Linked DNA regions of Cricetulus griseus. The protein of the gene in region 1 interacts with the protein of each later gene in a pairwise test. Links are inferred from orthologs where the notes say so. Each region holds a gene or a part of one and is shown in the gene's direction. Other genes may lie near its edges. The genes, in order: Rras2, Raf1, Rin1 and Ralgds.

Region 1 (4,588 bases):
GTTCCCTCCTTCTATTGTGGGTTTCAGAGACTTGGTTGCCAGGCTTGTGCTGTTCTTCTCTGAACTGTCCACTGGCTCAGTGCTCTTAATTGAGAGAAGAGGAAGCTGAGGCACAGAGGTTAAGTTCCTACCACCATGCCATTTGGAGAAGAGAAGGGATTTGATCCAGTCTACTCTCTGAGAATGTGACCCAGTGGTTCTCAACCTCCCTAGTGCTGTGACTATTTATTGCAATTCTTCATGCTGTGGTGACCTCCAGCCATAAAATTATTTTTGTTGCTACTTCATAACTGTAATTTTGCTGCTGTTATGAACCATAGTGTAAGCATCCAATAGATACGCAGACGGTCTTAGGCAACCCCTGTGAATGGGGTCGAGACCTACAGGCTGAGAATCATAGCCTTAACCTTACACTGCCTCTACAGAGAGGTATATTCCTACCTACTTAGCTGACACACATGCAGTGAATTTCTATTTATAATTGGTAGCCTGTAAACTCCCTTCAGCACACTCAAAACCACACAACAGAAGTGTTCCTTGTCAGCCCTGACTTCTGCATGCCTGCACATCTGGTTTTCTTTTCTTTCTCTCATTCTTCATTTCTTTTCAGACCAGGTTTCATTGTGTAGCTCTAGCGTGGAAATCACTGCATAGATCAGGCTGGCCTGGAATTCTTCGGGCTTACAGAGATCTGTCTGCTCCTGCTTCCAGAATATTGGGACTAAAGGCAAGGGCTACCACGTGCAGCCCAGCATGGTTTTCTTTCCAATCACACATCTATTTACAAGCTTATTCATCAGGTCTTTCAGAAAACCTCTGACTGGACAGCTCTGGGGTGAGTGCACCTTGGACCTCAGTGCTGTGCAGTTGTCCTTATCATCTTGTCTCACAAGGTGCCTATTGTCCTAGCTGCCTCCCGCATTGGACTCTGAGAGCAAGGACATGATCATGTGCATAGAAGCTGTGTTGGAAAAGAACATTGTCCTGGCATGTCACTGCCTGCAAATTTCTCACGACTCTCATATTCAGTTACCACACATTTCTCACACATAAACAGGAACGGAGATTTGCACCCCGCATCTGTCGACATGTACTGTGGCCCCATACAAGCACAATCACTCCCCATCTACTCTCATTGCTACTATATTAGTCCATCCATCACACGTTTAGTAATCTCGACAGCTCTCATCTTCCTCAATCACTGCCTTATACTTTTTATTTTAAAACAAATACAGAGCATCTGCATTCTGAAAACAGGGTACAGAGTTGAGTGAATACGATAACAGTTCTATTTTTCATCCACACCGTCACAGGCTGTTTCTTTCATGAGCACGATCCCTGACTTCTGCAATTACTGTTACTGCCATCAGTCTTCCCGGTTTCTTCGCTCTCTGCCTTAGAGTGCTCTAGGGGGCAGGTCCGCGGGGTCTGTAGCCCAGAGCGCTCAGGACCTTCAGCCAGGGCGGGCGGGTCTGGCCCCGCCTCCTCATGCATATGTAGCACCCAAGCCCGGCGGCCCGGCCCCCAGACGGCCATTTGTAGCGGTGCTGGAGGCTGCGTTCGGCTGCGCTGCAGAGACGCGGAGAGGAGCGCGCTCCCTGGTCGCTGCGTCCTCTGCCCCGGCGCCTTCCCGGCTTCCCAGTGTCTCGGGCAACTCCCAGCCTTTCCGGGGGATAACGCCCCGTGGCCCTCCAGGCCACTCACGGACCCCGCGCGCCCTACCGCCTGTAGCCCAGCCGGCCGCACTCGTCCCCGGAGCCGGGCCTAGGGCGCGCGGCGGCCGGGCTGGGCTCGGGCGTCCCGATGGCCGCGGCCGGCTGGCGCGACGGCTCCGGCCAGGAGAAGTACCGGCTCGTGGTGGTCGGCGGCGGCGGCGTGGGCAAGTCGGCGCTCACCATCCAGTTCATCCAGGTGTCTGGAGCGGGCCTGCGGGGTGGCGGCGGCGGGGTGGCGCTACCTGTGGCCGTGGCGACCCCGCCCGGGGCGCGCGGGTGTGGGGCTCCGGCGCGTGCGGTGCGCGCGGGTGCGGTTTGCGCGGGGCCAGGGCGCGCGGCTGCGAGGGCAGGCAGGAACTGTGAGTGAGGAGTCGGCGCTGCTCTCCTGCCCTGCGGCCACGGCGCCGCGCTGCTGCCCGCCAGGCGCCCGGCGCGGCGTCCGGGGACTCGGGCTTCTCAGGAATGTGGCCCGGAGGGCGGAGCTGCCCGGGTGGGAAGCACAGTTCCACCTTATCTCTGCGGTCGGGGCGGGATCCCGCGGAGAGCAGCCGCCTGGCGGAGCCGGGCTTCCTGCCCCGAGGGCCGGAGCGGGAACCCTGAGCATGCCTCGGTGGTCTAGGTGGTCCTGGTGACCCGGACTGCTTGGTCGCGGCTCCGCGCCGCCGGCTCCCAACAGTGTTTTCTCTTTGTGTGTGTTTGAGCTTCTCTTACAAGTAGTCTCTTAGGTGGTACGTCCGGGTGGGAGTGTTTGATCGTGCCCCAGGGAAATAATGGTTTCGAGGAAGTTAAAAATGTGCTTTGATTGGGGCGAGACCATTTCCTCGGAATTCCCGGTGCCTGCCTGCTTCGCGCTTAGGTGAAGTTTGGGATGAGCCCAGCTAGGAGAGAGTGAGTTCTGTGTTGCAGCTCCCCCTCCCTCCTTTTTTCCTGGTTGCTGGAGGAGGAAAGTCGGGTTGTGTCAAAGAAAAGGAAGGTGAAATTCATCCTTAGACTGTATTCTTGGTTAAGAGGTCCGAGTGATTTTTCTTTTTCTTTTTGCTTTTTTAAAAAAGCAACCGTAGATCTCTTTGCTTTTGTCATCCTGAAAGGCGTGGCATATGTTGGGAGAGCACAGGTACCCTGCTAAGTAACAAAGGTAGTTTTTTTCTGTGTCAAAGAGTACGGGTGGCATTTTTTTTTCCTGTTTCACCCATTTGTTGAATTGATAGAGTTGAATAGCTTATTTTGTTTCATTATAAACTGTGACGTTTATAGTGTTATTAAGACGCACAGTTCCATAACCTAAGTGTTTGTCAGCTTTCACATCGAGTGAATGCACAATAATCGCTCCTGTGATATTCCTTGGGATTAAAAAGTGCTGCTCAAACCTTTGTATTCAGAGAGGGTGTTTATGTCATGAACGGTGACAGTATGCTCCGAGGTGGTGGTGGTGTCAGGCCGTTGAGAAGTGAGATTGGTTTAAGTTTAAAACCCGACTTCAGTCAGGCTTTTTGGCAAGTTGCTATTTGCCTGAGGCCAAGAGAGTCATCTAAGTGACTGACATAGCAAAACAGGTCACAGCGAACTGTCTGTGGCTGATGTTGGAAGGGTCCAGAAATCAGAGGCCAGTCCTGGGTTCCAGAACTGATGGATAGTATTGCTTAGAAGACATAAATCAGAAGCATTTACGTTTTTGAGGGAGGGACTATCTGAATGTGATTGCTTCATGCAGTGTATACTCTGTTGACAGCCGTTTCTGTGTTAGAGATGTTTAGATGCAAAGGGAATTCAGGTTTGAAAACGTCAATGTGGGAAGGCTTTAAAAAAATGAGCTGTGGGGGCTGGAGAGGTGGCTCAACGGTTATAAGCTGGCTGCTCTTCCAAAGGACCAGGGTTCAATTCCCAGCACCCACATGGCAATTTACAACTGTCTAACTCCAGTTCCGGGGATCTGACACCCTCACACAGACATACATGCAGGCAAAACCCCAATGTGCATTAAATAAATAAATCTTTTAAAAAAATGCACTGTGGGGCTGGGGAGGTAGCTCAGTATAGAGTGGTTTGTCTTGTGTGGGAAGTCCTAGTGCCTTAAAAAAGAGCACCGTGTCGTCTCATTGGAGTGTGAGTGGAAATGTGATGAGAGTGAGGAGTCACAGGCCAGACTGGAAAGTGGGGGCAGAGGTGTGGGGAGCTGGGAGTGGGAGAGGCATGTGTGACTTGGGGCATTTGGTGCTCATGAAACAGGAACATAGCCTATGAGGTTGACTTGGTGAGGAGGAAGGAAGCACAGCACCTGTGTAGAGACTCTGCCACTCCTCCAAGCATGATGTAAGTTACTTAACCTGTCTGTCCTTTGGTTTTCAGTCATCTGTAAGCTGGGGTAATAAAGTTATACAGCCGTGAAAGTCAAATGAATTAACATATCCAGGGCTTTGGACAATGTGCACTTTATAGAAAGGCTATATCCATTACTCTGTTAACCTTAGATTATGGAACTAAAGTCACAATTTATCATCTATAGTTACACACACATATAAACACACCATATGGACTTGTAAACATACATAACAGACTCATAATTCCCCACCCTCTTAAAAAAGGGACATGCATATATAGATAACCTTCCAATTTCTGTTCTCTCCCCACCTCCACCTACAGTTCTCTCACCAGGTGCTAGGGATCAAACCCAGAATCTTGGCAGTCTTGTACCGTTGGTCATATCCCTTTAAAACTATTATTATTTTTTAAGATTGAATTTTAAAAAAGGTTTGAAGGGATACTCTTGAGCTCTGTAACCCAGGCTAGTCTTGAACTACTGATGTTGCTGCTTCAACATCTCAGGTAACTAGGATTACAGGTCTGTACCCAGTCTGGCAGCTCATACTTTTTAG
Region 2 (4,598 bases), on another chromosome or scaffold:
TGACCACCATGAGGGTGCTGAGAATTGAACCTGAGTCCTTTGCAAGAGTAGCTGGTGCTCTAACCACTTAACCATCTCATCAGGCCTTTCTTTCTACCTTGTAATTTGTCCAGTGTTTTGTCACAGAAACCAGAAAAGTAAACCACTGGCCAAAGGATGGGATGAGCCTAGTATCTATGGTTATCTCAGATATAGAAAATCTGGTGTAAGCTTATGATGGAGTAGTTTAGCCCTAAAGAGAAATGAAGTATCAGCACACAAGTAATACAGATGATGGACTTGGAAACAGGCTAAGTGAAAAACATAAGTCATAAAAGGCCTCACACCCTAGAAATATCCACACATGCAAGATAATCTAGAAAACGTTAAGTCTGCAGCAGCAAAATGAATATTGGTGATTGCCCCTGGGTGGGAAGCTAGTGAGAAACTACTTAAGTGGATAGTTTTATTTCAGAGTGATGGAAATGTTTTGCAACTAAAGTTGCGGTTACACAACACCGTGAATGTACTAAATGCCAATAGATGTTTACTTAGAAATGGTTACTTAAAAAAAAACTGTATGTGTGTTTGTAAGTGCGGTTGCAGGCTGCACACGTACCATCGAGGTCAGAAGATAACTTTTCAGGAGTCTGTTTTCTCCTTCCATAATGGGGATGAGAGGACTGATCTCTCAGGTCATCAGGTTTTATATACTCTGCAAACTTTTTACTCTCTGAGCCACTTTGCGGGTCCCAAAATGGCTATGACAATAGTTACAAAAGAGGCGAAGACCAGCCCCGAATTAAGTCTCTATTTCAAAGACAAAAAATAAAAAAAAAAAACGTTGACGGTATCAAATTGCCCGCCAGGTGTCTACTCCACCAGGGCTGTACGAAGGCGCACCACAGGATTCAGTTCACGGTGGGCCGTATTGGCTTGACAATTAAAATTTTTTTTTTTTTTTTTTTTTGAGACAGGGTCTCACGAAGCCCAGCAGGGCCGTGAACTCCTGATTCTCTTGCCTTCACTTCCCAAACGCTGGGATTACAGATGTGTAACACCACCATACTTTTAGCTTTTGGTCAACCAGTAAAACCTTCATTTACAAACGAGGAACCCCAGGCTTAATATTAATAGTAGGAGGGCTTTCCTAAAGCACCCCTAAACCGCCGTTCTCCGTGGATGCCAACTTCAGAGAGGAAGCGCCACAGACGGGCTCCCCCACTGCCTCGCGGGTGGCCCGACCCGGGCTGCACCCACGGCCGCCCGCTCGCCCGCTCGCCCGCCCGCTGGCCTCGGGCCTGACGCACTCACTCAGGCACGCCACTGTCAAGCCCGAAATGGCGGCCGCGGCATCGCGAGCCCACGCCCCCGGAGGAGGCGGGGCCGGCTTCCAGGCCCGAGAGATAGATCCCCGAGCCAAGTTTCAAACGGACGGCCGAGCTCCGGAGCTCGCGCAGAGGCGGTGAGCCCGCGGCGCCGCAGGTCGCGAAGACGAGCGTCGAGCGCAGGGCTCGCTCGCCGGGGCGGCCGGAGAGCGTCTTCATTGCGGGTGCTTGCGCCGCCATCTTAGATGGCGGGAGTTAGAACCGAGCGAGCTTGAGGCGGGAAGGCTTCTCTGCCGCTCTCCGCGGGCCCTCGGACGGGGCCAGCTGGCCGGGCTTTGGGGCGCGTGCCCTGAGGCGCGGGGCTCTAGTGCAGCGATGCGGGGCCTGCCCGGGGCCCCGTCCCCCGGCTTGGGGACGCGCCGAATGTGACCGCATCCCGTTCACTCAACCACCGCCGCCGCCGCCGCCGCCGCACGACGGGACCCGGCGTGGCCCGGCTCCCTCAGGTAGGCCGCGGGGTTGACGGCGCGGCTGCGGGGCGAAGGGTCCGCCAGGCCGCTGTCACCCGGGTGGCGGGCCGGGCGCGGGCCGAGTGTCATGGCCGGCGAGCCAGTTTCCACACCCCTGCTCAGATTTCCCAGTGTTTCTCGGAAACGTGCCAGCGCCACCCCGGTGCCCAGCGCGCATTCCTCATATTTTGGCAATGGGGTAAAAGAAAAAAGAAAAAAAAAACAAGTCCGCCCAGAGCTGCTCGGTGCCTGTGTTGTCACTGGGATGGGCTCGTTCCTTTTTTTCTCTCGGGCTGCATAAGTAAGTGGGGGGAGCCCGGCCTTGCACCTCCTCTCGGGCTGCTTCGCTCAAGTGACACCCTTTTAGGGAAGACGAGGGAATCGAGGAAGGCAGCGAGAAAAACGGGTCAGTGCCCCGCCACTAAGGCGTGGGGACCTCGCCCGGGGGCTTCCTAATGTGAGGCCCGGGATGCTCGAGATCGGGAGTCGGGGGTGCCTTTTGTGTGAAGCGACAAGCCGTCCAGGCTCTGCGGAGCCAGTGGATGCAGAAAGAGGAGTTGGGACATCACCGGAGGCGAGTCGGTGTTCGTTCATTCATTGTTCTCTCTCCAGGGCCCAGGGTGTGCCTCTGGTTTTCATTCTTTGTTGGGGGGGCGGGGGGGGCAATGACGGGGACGGTGGGATCTCCTCTCTCCGTGTTGAGACACGACTGGGACCTGGGGAGGGGGGGCGTCGGGTCTGTGTAAAGAAGTAGGGAATAGATAAATTCAGGGCACGTCTGGATGCCTGCATTGCGTCCTGTGGGGTCTGTGAAGACTCTGCCCTCGGTGCTCTGGCTCCCGGGGCGTGAAAACAATGAGCGGTGATAAGGGTTGGTTTCTCAACTGTTCTTGGGATTTAGAACAGTTTAAATGCGCTTTGGGGAGTAGACAAGCCCCGAGGTTCCTCGCTTGCTTCTCGCGGAGTTTGGAAGGACCTTGATCGCCAGGTGAGGCAGCGGGGAGGGCATTGTCAGCAGAGGGAACAGCTGGCACCAAGGCACTGAATGAGGCATGGCCTACAGGAGTTGGGATGAGTTCGGGGAGCAGCTAGTAAATGTGGGGTGCAGGAAGGAGATAGTGCGACATCAGGGTCCAAAAGAAAAGTTGATAGCTTCTGAAGGGTCTGTGTAATGAATGGATGGTGACGAACTAGTTCATTTAGTTTGGATTAATTAACTCGATGTTGCTAATTTTTAACTCTGGCTGGTGCCTGCTTTGCTCCCTCCCCCAATGGTAGTGAAGATGATAAAATTGAAAAGATTTACTTTAAGTCTAAAGTAAACCAGTTTTGGTAATGGATACTAACTGTTTCTTGCCCGTTCATTGGTTAATGAATTGGATTCCTATTCCGAGATATTCTCGAAGGTTTTTCTAAGGTTATACATGCATGCAAAAATGTTGACTTCATAAACGTAGTATTCTTTACTAACTCTGAGTTTTAAATCTCTGCTGACAATGTAAAACATGTTCCCTAAACTACAGAAATTGGCAGATTATGCAAAGCACCTGAAAAAAGTGTAGCATGAAAGTGTTTTTAATTAACACTATTTGTACAGTACACTGTTTTCTTTGGATTAAGTCCCCAGGTCTCTGGCCCAATGATCATTATTTTTAAATAGTCACTTCGATTAAGGCTTATGGTGAAGTGGCTACTCAGATGTGAAGAGTTTTCAGGGCAGTTTCAAAATCTTTGGTGTTGTGTACCACTGAAAACCAGATTCTTTGGACTTGTTTTTACTCTTATCACTTCAAGGGCTAAGTAAGCTGTTTAAAATCCAACAGCAACATTTGACCTAGCTGAGCTCTGGATACTTGGAAAAATAAACCTGCTGATGTTTCTGTTCTGAAGGCTTATCATCAGGTCTGCAGGGCTGTGACTGTGCCCTGAAGTGGGGTCAGGCAGCTTTGTTAAGGTCCTGTGAATAGTTGAAAAGACCTTGTGTGCCTGTGAAGTAGGAGGCTTGACTGAAAGGCTTTTGAACACATTTGAAGACATTTGGCCTGGTAGAAAAAAGACTGAGAACCATATTAAAACCTTTCGTTTATGACAGAAAGTATGCAAAAAATAAGAATGCTACTGTATTACAACTACTCTGAACCCAGTTGCTTTAGCCTCAAATCACTTTTGCTCTGAAGATTAAACAACTTCACATCTTTTGGAAGTTAATTTGACATTTGCAGAAGCACTAAATTTTTAATGTAAATATAATGACTAACTTCAAATTGCTCTTTTAGGAAGTCTATATTAGTAAATGTATGATTACTTAATGTTTAAATTTCAGACAAAATTTGGTTAGTCTACCTACTATCTAAAAATAGAAAACAATATTCCGTGAGCGAATGCTTTGGTTTGCCTGTTAGGTGTAATAGTGATAACCCTGATCTTGGGAGGAGCTTGTTAGCTAAACAGCATACCTTAATGTTGACTTGCAGAAGAGAATTAAATGCTGTCTCTGAACGACAGTGAACAAATGGAACAGTGAGGGATTTATGAAACCATAAAACCAAGCTTTGACTCAAATTTTGTTGTGTTGTTTTTCTAAAGTTGTATATAGACCTGTAAAATCAGGAATATTGGGTTCTTTTTGTTTTTTGCTTTTTTTTTTTTTTTTTTTTTTTTTTTTTAAAGCAGGGTTTCAATGTGTAGCCCCTGTATGGTTTGATCTCAATATGTAGTAGCCCAGGTTTGCTTTGAACTCACAGAGATCCCCCCTGCCTCTGCCTCTGTAGTGCTAGGATTA
Region 3 (4,745 bases), about 32 Mb from region 1:
AGGCCAGGGCAGCAGTGTCTCCTCAGAAGAGAAAACCAGATGGTAAGAACCAAAGAGGTGGCCCTGTCAGAATCCATAGCTTGATCTCACTTTGAGGATTTTGTGGGAGTTTGGGGAATAGGAACCAGATTGGCAAGGACTTGTAAAGGTAAAATGGAGGGCCCAGTGGTAGAGTGCTTGCCTAGCATGGGTAAGCCTCTGGTCCCAAGTTCAGCACCACAGAGAGATAAAGGTGGACTGGAGCTGGCCCGCAGCAGGGTGGGTCAGAGGGCAGGGAAAGGAAGCCCTGTGGGTGAGGGGAGTATGGTGTTTCCCCAGGGCCTCAGGCAGTGGTTGTTCTCTTTGATTCACCTTCCTTGTAGTGATTTTCCCATTGCCCCTAGGACCCTGACACTGCATTTCCACTCAGAGGGTCCTTGGAGCAGCTGGCACCACACACAGGACTAACATTTTTCTGCAAAGGCAGGGGGTTGCCTGGTAGTCCTCCAGTGTTACTGCTGTCCCCTGACCAACACTGGCCTGGGCTCCTCTGCTCTCCTTGGGATCTGCATAGCCGTGACCCTGAAGCTGACCTGGCCAAGCAAGACTCCGTTCCTGCCCCCCCCCCAAGAGTAACTTCCTTTATTGTCCCCCCAATAAAGATAGGCTTCATATGACAGCAGCAGCCCTCCCCACTGAGCCAGGAGCTGGGGAACTCTTGAGCCAGAAACATGTTGGGGTCTTGCCCCTCCTAGCTATCGCTGGAGATGGCATCTTCCCAGACTTTCTCAGGGCCATTCCTGGTGTCTGCCTCCCAGATTCTAAAGACTGGAATAAAACTCATCCTTGGACCTTGACCAGTGTGTGTCTGCTGTTCTCTTAAAAGGAATCAAGGCTTTATGGGGAACACCTGGGACAGACTCTTCTGGGGTCCCTGTTGTTCAGAACATTGTGACTTAGAAACGAGCCTGGGCCCAGAGCTGGAGTCTACACGTGGTGTGGCCCAGGCAAACAAATGAAGCACATGGCCTTGGATGAAGGCATGCCTGGAGGCCAGGTCATGTCTGCACCTGCCCCAGTCACTTGGCAGATTGGCAGGCAGGCTGGCAGGGCCTGTGTGTGGGAGGCAGCTAGCAGCAGCACCATGTGCTGACAACCTCACAGCCACACTCTCCCCTGGTTAGCATGAGTGTCAGAACCACCCCCAGAACCTCAGTTAAGCAAAGGGTTTAGTTTCCATGGAGACACAGCATCCTTTCTCCATAGCAACCTGAAATCACAAAACCCAAGTTAGGTTCAGGAATGAGTCATCTGTGACCAGTAGGGGGTGCTCTCCCACAAGGGTGACCCCCTCCAAGGCAGAAGCAGATGAGCAAGTGACCACAGACTTCTTGAGGTGACACAGGGGTGAGACTTGGGCCTGTGGGAACTTGGTCTGCCCTGTTTAACTCCTCCCTACCCAGCTGCATAGTGTGAGGTTCTATATGAGGAAACGCTGTGTGGAGGTGGTCCTCCCACAGCTGAGGCCCTAATAGTGACACTAACATAAAGGGGGCCCCTGCCATTCAAGGCTGGGCCCAGAATAGAAGTGGACACTGGCCACATGGAGTGGACATACAAGAGTTAACTGGCGGGGCGTGACAGGGTGAACCGCCTTCAGGAAGTGTTACTCACCGCTAGGAATGTGCCCGCCTGTGCCTTGGGGGTTGGATTCTCTTCCTGAGTCCCAGGAGAAGCTGAAGGAGCTCCTAGCCATGGAAGACCCTGGGGATACAGAAGCACACCCTTTGGGAACTGCCAACCTAAACTTTGTTCCTGGGCACCAACAGAAAGAAAAGTTAGTGAAGTTGGGAGGGCAACTGGGTGCAGGGGGTGAGGGCAGTGACAGGAAGGTCTGGCAAAGACAGATGGATAGGTGGGAAGCCCAGGACGGGGAAGAGGTGCTTGCCCAGACCCCTGCTCAGGTCTGCGTGTCTGCCCCCAGTCCATCTCCAGACCCTCTGTATGACACGCCTGACGCCAGCAGGGCACAGGCAGGCGGGGCCCAACAACCAGCACGCACCGTGAGTCTGCGGGAACGGCTGCTCATCACCCGGCCGGTGTGGTTACAGTTGCGGGCCAACGCTGCAGCCGCACTACACGTGTTGAGGACAGAGCCTCCAGGGGTGAGTCTTTTCCCTTCCTCCAGGACTGGCTCACCAAGGGTGGGAGAGAAAGGGCCTGGACATGGAGGCATTGAGCCTCCTAATCCTATTCACTTGCAGACCTTCCTGGTACGGAAATCTAACACTCGCCAGTGCCGGGCTCTGTGTGTGCGGCTGCCAGAAGCCAGTGGCCCCTCTTTTGTCTCCAGCCACTATATCCAAGAGAGCCCTGGTGGTGAGGGGGCTGGCCTGGCGGGAAGGGGCTGGAGACAGGCTGGGGAGGGAGGTCCCCAGAGAACAGCCTCACTCCCAGTGTCTCTCAGGCATCTCTTTGGAGGGTTCAGAGCTCGTATTCCAGGACCTGGTTCAGCTCATCTGTGCATACTGCCATACCAGGTGAGTCTGCCTACCTGCCGGGTACCTGATGACCACACGCCCTGCACCTGAATACCACTTGCTCTTGACTGCTCCTTGTTATGACCTTAGGGACATTCTTCTCCTCCCACTCCGGCTCCCCAGAGCCATTCATCAGGCAACCACCCACAAGGAGCTGGAGGCGATCTCCCATTTGGGCATGGGTAAGCGTTCCTTGCAGCCCATTGTACAGACGGAAACATAGACCAAATGGGGAAGAAAGGGCAACCAAGTTCTTTCTTTGTGGGCACCCTCCAGAGCCAGCTCTGAGGCTCCCATTGGTTTCTTTTTGCCAGAGTTCTGGAGTTCCTCCCTTAACACCAAGGTTCAGCAGAGGCCTTGTGAAGCCCCACCGATACCCAGGCTGAAGGCTCGCTCCCCTCAAGAGCTGGATCAGGGCACTGGTGCAGCCCTCTGCTTCTTCAACCCCCTCTTCCCAGGGGATCTGGGCCCCACCAAACGAGAGAAATTCAAGAGGAGTTTTAAAGTGCGTGTGTCCACAGAGACCTCCAGCCCTCTGTCTCCACCTGCTGTGCCGCCTCCCCCAGTCCCAGTGCTGCCAGGGACTTCTTCCAGCCAAACAGCAAGATTGCCTCCTCGACAGCTGCTGGAGAGGGAGAGTTCAATGGGGTATCGGGTGCCAGGGAGTGCTTCCGGCCAGAGTCTTCCTCCCCTACCTTCACTTCAGGAGGCCGACTGCTGCTCCCCCAGCAGCTCAGAGGAGGAGGGTTCTCCCCGAAGCCCTACCACCTCCCCGCGCCTGGGCCGCCCAAGGCAGCGGCCGCCTTTGCTTCGGTCCATGAGTTCTGCTTTCTGCTCTCTGCTGGCACCGGAGAGGCAGGTGGGCCGGGCAGCCACAACGCTAATGCAGAACCGATACACAGCTGTGGGTCAGCTAGTGCAGGACCTACTGACCCAGGTTCGGGCTGGTCCGGAGCCCCGGGAGTTGCAGGGCATCCGCCAGGCCCTAAGCCGGGCCCGGGCCATGCTGAGTGCAGAGCTGGGCCCTGAGAAGCTGCTACCACCGGAGAGGCTGGGTAAGGCCCCAGCCCTGGCCTCCACAGGTTCAGTTCCTGGCTCTCCACCCTCCCTCACCCACCTCTCTCCTTGCCTTGGTGCCTAATGATGGACTCCTGGTTTCCTTACACCCCACTTCCCCCCACTACTTTTGCAGTGAATTCCATGCCCCACCCCTCTCCTACCTCCTGTCTTGACCAGGGCCTCCTGCTCTTCCAGGCCCCTTCCCCCTGACTGTCTACTCTCCTCTGGCAGAACTGGTTCTGGAGAAGTCCTTGCATCGCTCTGTTCTCAAGCCTCTTCGACCTATCCTAGTTGCCCGCCTGCGGCGGCGTCTTTCCGCAGATGGTTCCCTTGGCCGCCTAGCTGAGGGCTTCCACCTGGCCCGGACCCAGGGACCTGGAGCCCTCGGGTCCCACCTGCCCCTCTCCTACCCAGTGGAGACGGAACAGGTGCGCCAGAAACTGCTTCAGTTGCTTGGCACCTATTCACCTACTGCCCAGATCAAGTGGCTCCTGCAGGCCTGCAAGTTGCTCTACACAGCCCTGAAAACCCAGGCGGGTATGACCCTCACCACCTTCCCCTGCTCCAGCTCTTTCTGAGTAGAGACTGAACCCCCTCTCTCAGGGAGAAGGTCCCAGGCCCCCAGAACTGCAAAAGGGCAGAAGGATCCAACCCTCCCGTCTCAGGGGTTCTAGAGAGAGGAGTGTCTTTCTTCCCTGTGGTTGCCATGACAGTCCGGTCCTGTCTAGGGGGTCTAGCAGGTGGTGGGAGGAGTCACTGTCTAGAACAGGGGTTAGACCCTAGCCTTTGGGCCTCTGAGGAGGCTGGAACGCCTTCCTTCCCATTTTTCCACAGGGGAGGATGCAGGCGCTGATGAGTTCCTGCCTCTGCTGAGCCTTGTCTTGGCTCAGTGCGACCTTCCTGACCTTCTGTTAGAAGCTGAGTACATGTCGGAGCTACTGGAACCTACCCTGCTCACCGGAGAGGGTGAGGGCACCCTCACTTCCTGTCCAGGTGGAACTGAGGCTTCTTAGTCGCTAGCAGGTCCTGAGCAAGTAAGGAAGGGAAGGCAGGACGCCCTACTCCAGCCTGAGCTGTACCCTGTTTCCTAGGCGGCTACTACCTGACCAGCCTGTCGGCCAGCCTGGCCTTGTTGAGTGGCCTGAGCCAGGCCCGCGCTCTCCCACT
Region 4 (4,786 bases), on another chromosome or scaffold:
AGGAAGGGTCGCAGACAGGACTTCAGCACAAGCCGTGTTCCCTGGGGTTGGGGGTGGGGTGCCTGTTGCTTGTAAATCCTGGAAGCAGGACAAGGCAGAGACAGCTAGTGGACAGTAGAAGCCAGCAGAAGCTGGGGGTGGAGGGTGGCCCTGGGATGGTGAGAGATGGGAAAGCTTATTTAGAATCCAGGGGAAGGGGGAAATACCTCACATTTGGGGACCCTGGGGACAGTGGAACTGGGAGCTTAACATACTAGCTAGTGGCCTAGGGCTTTGTGGAAGGACCTCAACTAAATAATTTGTATGCATTTTGTCCTTTGGGGAAGAGGGGCCGGTCAGGCTATTAATAACCCATTTGACAGATGAAACAACTAATTAGATTGCACAGAGTCAATAAGCTGGTCAACTGCAGAGGCAGAGGCCAGGCCAGCTTCTCACCTTGGCAGCTAGCCTATGAAGCCTGAAGGCTGCGTGGGTTGGCAACAGTGAAGCGGGGGCTTCTCCCTCTGGGCTGTCTGGTCTCTTGATCACACTGTGTGCAGCTCTTAGCTTATCCCAAGGTTCTTTTGTTCCCTTGACACTGGGACATAGAGGGCTGTGTGTGTGTGTGTGTGTGTGTGTGTGTGTGTGTGTGTATGTACACAAGATAATCTTTCAGAGGGACTTCCTGGCTGACTGTAAAAGGGCAGCCTCCAGGAACTTTAGGGCCTGTTATATTCTTGGGGGGGGGGGGGAGTCTGGGGAGTCTGGCCATCACTGCTAGGACTCCAGGACCCTGTTGTCCCACTGTTGCTTTTCTCAGAGGTACAGAGGAAAAGGTTGAGGAGGCCCAGATGGCTGGTACTGGTCCTCTGTCTCCAGTCTGGAACACTGAGAGAGACCTGCTGGCCCATTTCCTGGGAGCCTCAGGGCAGCTCTAGAGCAGGAGGAACCGGATTGCTAGCAGGGCAAGAACAGGCTGATTCTAAGTGGGGTGGCCAGACAGTTTTCAGGCCTGTGGGTTGTGGAGGGGGTTCCAAAAGGCTGCACTCCTAAGGGTCTCAGTTTGACACCTGCCCTGGGGGTTGGGCTTTGGATGTGCTCACAAGTGCTATGTTAACAGGCCTACACCCTAGGAAGCTCAGTCTCCACAGCCCAGTGAGAGTGAGAGATTGAGATTGGTTGCTTCCTGATACAGGAGCTGAGGCCCCTAACAAACTCAGTTCTCTGGAGAAAGGACAACCTGAGGGGCTGCTCACTGAGCAGGGCACAGGGACCAGAACTGCTGAGCCATGGGCATTCTGTTGGCAGTCTCCCCTCCTTTGATGCCTCTGCCTGCCACTGTTATCCTACAGTCACACCTGCAAGTGTTCTGTCCTTTTGAACCTGGAGGTGTATAACCTAGCTCTGTGGGGAAGGCAGCTGTGCTGGAATGCCAGCTTGGCTCCTGTGAGCCTCGGAGTTTCTTCATCTGTAAAATGGGCGTAATGCTAATTACTCTGGGGGGGGGCGGTTGAGACAGGGTTTCTCTGTGGCTTTGGAGCCTATCATGGAACTACCTCTTGTAGATCAGGCTGGTTTCGAACTCACAGAGATCTGCCTGCCTCTGCCTCCCGAGTGCTGGGATTAAAGGTGTGCGCCACCACTGCCCAGCTAATTATTCTTTGAGTTCTGGAATGGACCAAGTGAGACCAACAGCCTAACAAGTGCCATCTACAGAGCCTGAAAGTGGCCACAACTAGTTTTCCTGACTAGGTGACAAAGCCCAAGCCTCCTGAATGTCTGGACTCTGGTCTCCTAGGACATGTGGCCTCAGCGTGGCATCACAGGCATTTTCCCCAGGACATGTCCTTAAGCCTTTGCTCAGAGGTGCAGGTGTGAAACCACTGGCCTGGCTACTTTCCCACTTGCTGTGTAGCCTGAGGAAGTCATTTCTGTCTCTAGCTCCTGCCCTGCATCTGTGTGACCAAGGCTGGACCCTGCCCTGGCGTTGGGCCTCTGGTAGAAGCAACAGCCAGATCCGGGTATGTCCCTCCAGGCCTGGGACCAAATTCTTGTCCTGGCTGCTGTTTCCTGGCTCTACCTGAGTAAGCCTCCACCTGGCCCTACCTGGCTGTGCCCTCATCTGCCAGGCAGCATACTGGGAGAGTCACTTGCATGAAGTATACAAAGGACCTGGTACAAGAAATGCCTGAGTAAGCTGGATGGCATATTCATGGTCAGTGGTGTGGGTCTGAACCTTTAACTGGACCTGCTTATGCCTTGTGAGGACCAGGCCATGCCCCCTCCCAGGCCTGCCCAGCAGTGGTCATTTTATGATAAGAGCCCAGTAGCAAATGGGCAGCAGGACTGGGTATACAAGTTATGGGTTTACTAGGCTAAAGGGATAGGTGTTTCCTCCCCCGTTTGAGCTCAGTTTTCATTCCTAAAATGCTAACTTGGGGACTGGAGAGATGGTTCAGAGGTTAAGAGCACTGACTGCTCTTCTAGAGGTCTTGAGTTCAATTCCCAGCAACCGCATAGTGGCTCACAGCCATCTAAAATGAGACCTGGTGCCCTCTTCTGACTAGCATGCAGGTAGAACACTGTATACATAATAATAAATAAAATCTTTTTTAAAAAATGCTAACTTGGCCAGTAGTTGGACTCAGGCTGACAGGGAGGGTTCCTGGGGACCTGAATCTCACTCTGTTGAAAGCTATGCACAGACTGAGCCCAAGACTTTACTTTCCTAGGTCTTGGTGCTCCAGTGCTGCCATGGCAACCAGGCACCTTGCATAGTTCCAGCTGAGGCGGCCTCTGTGGGCTGTGGGCTTGGGGAGTACCTAGAGCTGCTGTGAGGCCTTAGCATCTAGGATATCCACCCAGTGCTGGAGCTTGGATAGAGGACTCTAATGGTTGGCGTTTTCATTTTCCCTTCTCTACTGGGGCTCATGGTCTAACCAGGGCCTGGCCTTGAGGAGTCCTGGACACTGTCTCTCTGGCCCCGCCTTAGGCTCTGGTTTCTACTTCTGAAATGGGGAGTGTGCTTCCCCACTTTGGAGAGGAGCAGCCTAAGGTTGGTAACCAGCATACAGACTGCTCTCTCCCTCTTCTGGAAGCTTCATTCAAGGTCTAGAACTCTTGAGTGAGCTGCCATTTGGGTCTAGTAGTTCCAGGTGGGCCTCTGATAGGTATGGCTCTCATATATCATCAGCTGGGTGTTGTCTGCTACCCTTACTCAGCTACAGCCCCAGCCCTGCCACCTGTTAGCCGTTGCTCTTCTCCCAGCTCATGTCTAGGTTACTGAGCCAAGCTGGGGGTTAAGACCCTTCCTGAAATATGGTCCTATGGGCCCTGTGTGTCCAGAGCTATAGGGTGCCTGCAAGGGGCCTGCTAGAGTGATCTAGTGACCCAGTGGCACTGGGCAGTAGTATGGGCAGGTTTAGAAGTCACCCTCAAGGTTGAGAGTCCACCTACACCACCAAGTAGACGGAGCCTCTTCACATGTAGAAGGAAGCTGTGGTCTTGTGCTCTGAAATCTACCATGTCTGCCAAGGCCTCCTGTGAAACAGAAACAGCCAATGTCTGACTCGACACTCCACCACCACTATCCAGCGCTCTACAGGGAGAGGTGGCAGGCCTGGAGTCCCCATTGGGCCCCTTACTACTTACTGTTCTGGGCTTGGCCTGCGGCTCATTCTCTTTTAGCTGGGGACATGCATCCTGCTGGCCTGAGAACATTGATCAGGTGATGCTACCCAGGTCATGTTTTCTCGCCTCATTCTGAGAGTTCTGGTTATGCTTAAGAGACAGTGCTAGGGATGGCAGGGGGCCGGTGCGGGGAGTGCTCACAGGATCCCCAGGGACACTGTCACCCCCAAGTGATTGACCCAAGTGTGTTAGACACAGCTGCCAACTTCATCCCAGGGCCCCGAGGCCTTGCACATGCTGTAGTTGGGGGGAGGGGGGTGATCCTTCCTACGGACACAGCCAACCATGTGGCATTCCTCCCTTGGCACTTGAAGGCATCCTGGATGCCTGCCCCAGGCAGATGAGCAGGCAGACACTTTTGCTGTGTCAGCTGTTCACTAGGCAGCCTACCCCCTCTTCTCCCTGGTCTGCTTGAGATTTCCTGGGAGCATGGTGCTGCCCGCATGGGCTGTGTGCCACAAAGGTAGTCCAATGTGGCCTTAGGGTACTTGGTCCCTGCCTTTCCAGCCTCAGAGGGACCTGAGGGCAGATCCTTAGGGGCAGGAGGTGGGGGGGGGAGCCTCTTCTATGCTGCCTTCTAACCAGGCCTGAGGCATCTCCTCTGAGTATCTGGTGCAAATGTACCCACACTCAGCATTGTAAGGTGGTCTGGTTCACTTGTGCTGTGGTTGCTTGATGGAAATGGAGTTCATGGAGCAGTTTCCATCTGTGTGACGGGGTGCTGACTTCCTAGAGGAAGGCCTGTATGGCTCTCAGTGCCTGTTAGCACCCCCCCCAACCCAGCTGACAGAATACCCCCCTCAGATGAGGGAAGGGTGCAGGGCTCACATGACATTCCCACAGGGCCCAGGCCAGCTGCTGGGCTGTCAGCCCAAGCCCAGGGCTGAGAAAGGGCTTGCTTTTGAGCCCTGCTCAGGCTGCTACACTGCTTGCATCCAGCCCCTCCTGTGGGTTTGCCTGGCCACTCAGGGCACATTTCTGTCCATTGAGTACCAATAAAAACCTGTTGCAAACTGGCACTGTACTGGGTGCCTTGGGCTAAAATCCAGTGTTGTGTGGCGGGAGAGGGAAGTTCACGTGTGAGACCCTGAGTCCCTGCTGCTGCCCGCATGGG

What was found.
Region 2: the proteins of Rras2 (region 1) and Raf1 interact in a two-hybrid assay, tested with the Homo sapiens proteins (2 studies listed by BioGRID and IntAct). The link is inferred for Cricetulus griseus from reciprocal best matches to the Homo sapiens genes RRAS2 and RAF1.
Region 3: the proteins of Rras2 (region 1) and Rin1 interact in binary tests that used the Homo sapiens proteins (3 or more experiments, as listed by UniProt). The link is inferred for Cricetulus griseus from reciprocal best matches to the Homo sapiens genes RRAS2 and RIN1.
Region 4: the proteins of Rras2 (region 1) and Ralgds interact in a two-hybrid assay, tested with the Homo sapiens proteins (2 studies listed by BioGRID and IntAct). The link is inferred for Cricetulus griseus from reciprocal best matches to the Homo sapiens genes RRAS2 and RALGDS.

The regions. Positions count from the first base shown.
Region 1 is NC_048596.1:86,550,772-86,555,359, forward strand, and holds the start of Rras2 (ras-related protein R-Ras2), read left to right. Parts: upstream 1-1,524; 5' UTR 1,525-1,803; coding exon 1,804-1,911; intron 1,912-4,588. UniProt on the Homo sapiens protein: GTP-binding protein with GTPase activity, involved in the regulation of MAPK signaling pathway and thereby controlling multiple cellular processes. Regulates craniofacial development.
Region 2 is NC_048601.1:29,167,318-29,171,915, forward strand, and holds the start of Raf1 (RAF proto-oncogene serine/threonine-protein kinase), read left to right. Parts: upstream 1-1,526; 5' UTR 1,527-1,813; intron 1,814-4,598. UniProt on the Homo sapiens protein: Serine/threonine-protein kinase that acts as a regulatory link between the membrane-associated Ras GTPases and the MAPK/ERK cascade, and this critical regulatory link functions as a switch determining cell fate decisions including proliferation, differentiation, apoptosis, survival and oncogenic transformation.
Region 3 is NC_048596.1:54,234,197-54,238,941, reverse strand, and holds the start of Rin1 (ras and Rab interactor 1), read left to right. Parts: upstream 1-1,658; 5' UTR 1,659-1,661; coding exon 1,662-1,816; intron 1,817-1,963; coding exon 1,964-2,144; intron 2,145-2,243; coding exon 2,244-2,358; intron 2,359-2,446; coding exon 2,447-2,519; intron 2,520-2,609; coding exon 2,610-2,701; intron 2,702-2,833; coding exon 2,834-3,574; intron 3,575-3,809; coding exon 3,810-4,115; intron 4,116-4,412; coding exon 4,413-4,571; intron 4,572-4,669; coding exon 4,670-4,745. Other genes in the region: Brms1 (breast cancer metastasis-suppressor 1), read left to right, coding at 3-42, 384-391. UniProt on the Homo sapiens protein: Ras effector protein, which may serve as an inhibitory modulator of neuronal plasticity in aversive memory formation. Can affect Ras signaling at different levels. First, by competing with RAF1 protein for binding to activated Ras.
Region 4 is NC_048599.1:140,219,757-140,224,542, forward strand, and holds the start of Ralgds (ral guanine nucleotide dissociation stimulator), read left to right. Parts: upstream 1-1,742; 5' UTR 1,743-1,757; coding exon 1,758-2,003; intron 2,004-4,786. UniProt on the Homo sapiens protein: Functions as a guanine nucleotide exchange factor (GEF) activating either RalA or RalB GTPases and plays an important role in intracellular transport. Interacts and acts as an effector molecule for R-Ras, H-Ras, K-Ras, and Rap.